Tribolium castaneum: one gene and its partner. Each later gene encodes a partner of the first gene's protein in a complex. Links are inferred from orthologs where the notes say so. Each region holds a gene or a part of one and is shown in the gene's direction. Other genes may lie near its edges.

Region 1 (3,243 bases):
TTGGGGGGAAAAATATCTGAAACCTCTGCGCGATCAAACCATACATTTGGCGTTTTGCAAAGTTCAAAATCATTAGCGATAAAAAAGAATCAGAAAGCCACCAAAAATCTATTAGTGGCGTTTGGTTAGTTCAGCTTTATTATCGACTGCTTTTGCGGTTGCGATGTCTGACTCTAAACTAATGTAGACTTTCAAGTCCACAGGGGTTAACTTAGGCTCTTCTTGTTTCCACCCCATCTTAATGAACTAGGTCAAGTTGATTCTCCTAAGTTATTATACACGCTGGTCAACAGTTTGTCTCAAAATGTTACGTAAGAAACAAAAAACCGTTGGAGGAAGCTTATTATAAGTGGAGAGGCCTTAGTCAAACTTTCCGGTGCTTTAAAGGATCATAACTGTGAAATTACAGTAGTTGGAAATCGCAAACAAATTTCCGGTTATTGTGTCCCCGTTATGTTATTTCTAGTCATTAAATTGTTACTGAAAGCCCCAACTAAATTCATAAATAATATTATCTCTGCATTTGAGTGTGAGTTTTTACTGTTGTAAGAATAAACAAATTACAAAAATATATGTTGTTGAATGTTTGTTCTCTTTAAAATATAGTCAATCAGCAATAAAACATGAAATAATTTATCTGTTTGCCTGTTTTGTAGTGACTATCATTATGAATGTTATTACTTTATATTTATTAATTATTATCAAAGAATTTTTTAAGAAAGTAAACATCCTTTTTAAATGTGATATAAAGAGGAGCTTAGGTACAAAAATAAACAAAACTTCTTCATTGTCACGACTTTATTGTGATAAATTGTTAATATTACAATTTGTTAGATAAATTAGACAATTTAAAATTAAAAAAATTGGCCGCCCGAGCAGGGACTTGAACCCTGGACCCTTGGATTAAAAGTCCAATGCTCTACCGACTGAGCTACCCGGGCTTGCTCAAAATACACCCATTTATTCGTTGCCGTGGATAATAAAAAAATGCCAATACTTTGTTTTTTATCTTATCAATTTTGACCTAAATTCTATATTTAAAATTTGATTTTAAAAATAAACAACATTATCAAATATCTTAAATTGCTTGCGATGTTTTTTTAAAATTTAAGAGTATATGGAGTCATATCGATTTTAATTTAATTTTTTGTTTTTAAAGCCTCTCTAACCGGCACTAAGTTAAAATATTGAACATGTAGTTGACTTTATTGTGTTTTGAACCAAAAAAAAAGGAAAAAATCACACAGGTCCCACCGAGATTTGAACTCGGATCGCTGGATTCAGAGTCCAGAGTGCTAACCATTACACCATGGGACCTTGTATCCGTGTACTTGAACTCACAGGTTAAAGAATGTGTGGTCTAACATGTGATCATAAATTTCTGTTTTTTGAAAATATTCCAAAAATGATTTCCCCTCCAAAAACCATGTATTCATTCAACAATCAAACAAGTGAATGGCGTGAGTTTGGTCACGTTTCCTGTCACTTTCCAGTTTGTTTACAAAATCCCCTATAAGGTTATATCACAAAATTGACAGTTCGTAAAGTGCGGTGTGACATTGGCTATTTAAATAAGCAAGTGACTAATATGAAGGGAATATTTTCGATGTATTAAATCTAAACTGCATGAAATGTCGCTAACTTTTCCATTCCGACTGTTACATAAATCATTCTGAAAATTCCACAACTATGACCAGGTTTTTTGAGCAAACCACGATTTTTAACTACACCTGGGACCAAGTGGCTCAAGGCTTTTGGAAGCGATATCCAAACCCCAACAGGTGAGTCGCCTCTACTTCCAAAACTTGCATAATTCGCCAAATTTCAGCAAACATGTGCTGAGTGAAGACACAGTTTGTCGTGATGTGCGTTCAGGGCGCTTATTTTCCATACGGTTGCTCAGCAAAACCAACCCAATTCCAAAGTGGGCAGAGAGGTTCATCACCTCCAAACATGTCCACATTATCGAAGAATCAATTGTTGACCCAGTGAATAAAGTCTTTATTACGTACACCCGGAACCTTGGCTACACCAAAGTCATGGTATTTGCCCGTGATCACGTCCTGCGACAGGACTTAAACCCTTTTTTCCAGAGCGTTACAGAGAAAGTTGTCTACCACCAAAGTGATGACCAGCCTGGGAAGACCATAGCTGTGAGGTCTGCCTGGATTGATTCCCAGGTCAGAGGTTTTAGCCGAGCAATCTGTGCATTTGGGTACGAAAGGTTCAAGAAAAATTGCTCCAAAATGGTAGGTTCCACCAACGCAACCACACAAAATATAAAGCAAAAATTATAGGTGGGAGGGTTCAACCATGTCCTTGCTAGCATGTTTCCACTACAAAGCACTGTTACCACAACTCATGCCACGATAACAGCGACCAGTAAATTGAAAGATGCGGCTAAAAACGCCTCCGAACTTGCGAAATCAAAGGCAGCCCCAATTTACGCGTCTTTGCACCCCAATCAGTCCTAAATGTAAGACAATGTTATTAAAACTGGTCAACTTATTAGAAAATTGTATCAATGTTGTGTAAGTGTAACTATTCCATTTGCTGATTTTATTCAGTTTTTGATACTTTTTTTATTCCAAAAAACATCTAGCTAAGAACTTATTACGTACGAGGGCACGATTTAACTGTTTTTATGGGACTAGAACCGATTTGTTTCCTGTATAATTATCATGAAAATATATTTGTTGTAATTGGAATTAATAAAACGTTAGCTTTAATCATTTATTTATTGGCCTCAAAAGTGGAGGCTTGGGACGTTTGGTTTCGGGTTATGTAACTGGAGACATTTTCCAAAGAGGGGGCTTGTCAGAACTAAAAATGAAAAATTGTGTGCATAAATAACCCTTCCTTGCGGAGCTAAAATATCCTGGTCAAAGTTCAGGGACCAAAATACATACCCACATGTTTTGAACAATGCAGTGACAAAAGATGGCATTCGCTTTTGAACGCCTTTCCTGAAGAACAAACCGGATTGTAATCATTTGCGTCACAAACGGGACACTCGCTAATAATTGTTTGAAACTCGGCTAGGAAAAATGCTAAACAAAAATATTGAGAAATAAAATAGAATCACTCACCAAAAAATAGGACGAAATATTTTGTCATCGTTTACAGCGATTGTGAGATGAGCAAACTGGACAGTCTTACGTATTTTCAATTGGAAAATTAATTAACCAGTAATTTTACAAGCTATTAAATGGATAATGTCGAACCGTCATTACAATCACTAAA
Region 2 (2,589 bases), on another chromosome or scaffold:
AATTGTTTTTCGACTTGAACAGTACTTCGTCCAGTAGCAGCTTGTCGCATTAAATAGGGGCCAACTGTTTGTAAGAGTTGTTCATAAGCCTCAATGGTTACTCGAAAATGTTGCTGAAATTCTTGCTTGGTATAACCAGAAATTGTTGCTTCAATATAATTCTCAATACGTTGAGGTTTCTTAATTTTCCTACTTTTTATAAGCATCATCGTAACAATATTTTCTTCATCAGTTACATCGCTGTCCTCATCAGAAGAATATGTAACCGGAATGCCAAATAACATTTCCGATGATAATACAACAGGGATAGTAATTATGTCATTCATTGTTACGGTTCGTTTGTTGAATTGGTGGGCTTAAATGTACCTATGCCATAAACGGACCAAAGAGCTGATATTATTTGTCACTTACCTACTTTAAACGACAGGTTATATTTTTATGTCAAACAATTACAAGAGTGTCAACTGTCATGTTGCAGTCTACTTCAACCGTTCATAAACTTCAGAAAGCTCTGCATTCACTCTAGGTGAAAATTGCCTTACTCTGACGTCACAACAACACAAGATACTTTAGTTTATGAACGCACTCCAGGGGCATAGCGGTGACAAACTATCAAATATTTTTTGAGGTTACGAAGTGTTTAAATTATGAGTTGTTACAAAAAATACAGATTCACAAAACAAGAACTAATAAACGCAGAATCAAAAACCTAACGAAACGCAAATCACAAAACACAATAAACGAACAGAAAATAGTTGCGATTAACACCGATAACACTTTCGACAACCATGCGACGACGTCTATAATTTACTGTCAATGTCAGTTTGACAAATTCGTGACACTTGATGGTGTTGTCGAAGTGCATATGTAAATTAATGTTCAAGGATACCACCCTTAGATACCCCTTAGTTGTTTAAATTTGCATTGTTTTTGATAATTTTTTTACAGTTTTGTGTTGGTAATGAAAAAATTAAATTGATGACGCACACGCAAACCGAGCTGACCGCCACTATATAACAACTCTCAGATTTCCATAGTTTTGAAACAGAGCGTAGTCAATTAATTTAATTCGCAATTTGACGATTTTTCGCATTTTTAGTCAAACTTGGCGAAATATAATTGCATTTCTGCTCTATGACTGAACAAAATGCTAAAGATAAGGAAGAATAAGTAGAATTTGCATAATTTAGTGATCCTCATTCAAACAAAAAGTTTCGCAAAAAAGAGCTTACATTTTCGACCCAATTTCAGAATTTTTCGAACAATTTTAACGCAAAGTGCAGAACCTCGGCATGACCTTGGCAAAATTGTAAATTATTAGGAGTTATCACTGTTATCAGTAACTAATAAAATATTTCCATTTTTTAAATTTCCAACGTAACGTAACGAAATAACGTAAAGGTAGTGGTAATGCAAAGGTGAGAGATAAGCGCAACGTCATGGAAGATAACGAGCCTAATCGATGGACATAACCTTAAAATCGGGTGTTTTAAATCCCTCGCGCATAGATAACGGTTTGAATAATCAAAATGGGTCATCGTTTGGAATAAACATGAGTTTTGCTTTCAGTAAATCGTCGAAATTCGCTATGGACAGCATTGGAGAGGCGTGTAACGAACTGAAAAAGGACTACGATGCTTGTTTCAATACCTGGTTTTCTGAGCACTTTCTCAAAGGGCACACCAACGACTCCATGTGTGCCCCGCTCTTTAAAGTGTACCAAGAATGCGTTAAAGTGAGTATTTTTCACTTCCTTGTCATGAATTAAATATCGTGAGTTTGGCTTTAGAGAGCAATGAAGGACCAACAAATTGATTTCCACGAAGTTGAGAAGAACTTACTGGGTACTGAACAGGAGAGGAAACCCCCACAAAAAAATAGCTGACCCTGGTCGTCTTTCGTGTGCTCATGGATGTGTTCAAGCATAATCTCAAACCCAGCCATTGTGAGTAGTCAGAACCATCACCAAGTGCAAGAAATGACTGAAGATCCACAATTTGATGTGTAATTTTATTGCGTTGGCACATAAATGTTAAACGTGGTGTATATTTTAATAAAATTTAGAACGGTAGGTTACTGGTCAAATTGTGTTAGATGTTAGAATGCCTGCGAATTCAAATCATTCCTCACCAAAGATTGATTTAATTAAAGTGGCCAATGAGTTCAAAAGAAAGTTGGCAACGCTGTCACCTATTTCGTTGCCAACTTAATTTGAGTCACAGGTCACTTGGGTTAGGAACTTAAAGCATGGTAGAAATGCAGTTTTAAACAAATTTGTTTTATTTTTGAAATACTAGGTGATACAGTTTGGTATTCGCCCCCTCGTAACATGTTTGATATTATTTCCAATGGGAACCTACATTTTATCATAATCAGGAAGATATATTTTTTATTTTTCGTACATGTATTATTTTTATTTTGAGAAAATAATTTTTGTCAAACGCATTCCACTATCGTCTTTTGTTTTCGACTTATAAACAAAAATTGACATTTTAGCGAAATGTCAAAGACTTCATAAATGCACCACCCTGTTACTTTTACTAAAAATTATATTGTTTAAAAACATGTCAAATTAAAAAAATTATAATT

Evidence for each region. Proteins that work in one complex are often made in the same cells at the same time.
Region 2: the proteins of prel (region 1) and TP53-regulated inhibitor of apoptosis 1 are in contact, whole or in part, in a crystal structure (PDB 6I3V), measured with the Homo sapiens proteins. The link is inferred for Tribolium castaneum from reciprocal best matches to the Homo sapiens genes PRELID1 and TRIAP1. Residues at the interface, in NP_037369.1 of Homo sapiens: Trp15, Asp16, Phe19, Ala20, Trp23, Gln24, Tyr26, Pro27, Val34, Leu35, Thr36, Glu37, Asp38, Ile39, Val40, His41, Arg42, Val44, Gln48, Lys49, Leu50, Leu51, Ser52, Arg53, Leu55, Thr57, Tyr79, Leu81, Asp83, Ser84; in NP_057483.1 of Homo sapiens: Met1, Asn2, Ser3, Val4, Lys12, Tyr15, Asp16, Phe19, Asn20, Trp22, Phe23, Phe27, Leu28, Gly30, Asp31, Ser32, Phe41, Tyr44, Gln45, Val48, Gln49, Ile52, Ile57, Pro58, Ile59, Leu62, Glu63, Phe64, Met65, Gly66.

The regions. Positions count from the first base shown.
Region 1 is NC_087397.1:918,471-921,713, reverse strand, and holds prel (protein preli-like), read left to right. Parts: upstream 1-1,447; 5' UTR 1,448-1,689; coding exon 1,690-1,781; intron 1,782-1,828; coding exon 1,829-2,042; intron 2,043-2,093; coding exon 2,094-2,249; intron 2,250-2,297; coding exon 2,298-2,474; 3' UTR 2,475-2,729; downstream 2,730-3,243. UniProt on the Homo sapiens protein: Involved in the modulation of the mitochondrial apoptotic pathway by ensuring the accumulation of cardiolipin (CL) in mitochondrial membranes.
Region 2 is NC_087394.1:7,774,454-7,777,042, reverse strand, and holds TP53-regulated inhibitor of apoptosis 1, read left to right. Parts: upstream 1-1,370; 5' UTR 1,371-1,514; intron 1,515-1,569; 5' UTR 1,570-1,588; coding exon 1,589-1,735; intron 1,736-1,789; coding exon 1,790-1,885; 3' UTR 1,886-2,071; downstream 2,072-2,589. Other genes in the region: uncharacterized protein LOC135266305, read right to left, coding at 1-326. UniProt on the Homo sapiens protein: Involved in the modulation of the mitochondrial apoptotic pathway by ensuring the accumulation of cardiolipin (CL) in mitochondrial membranes.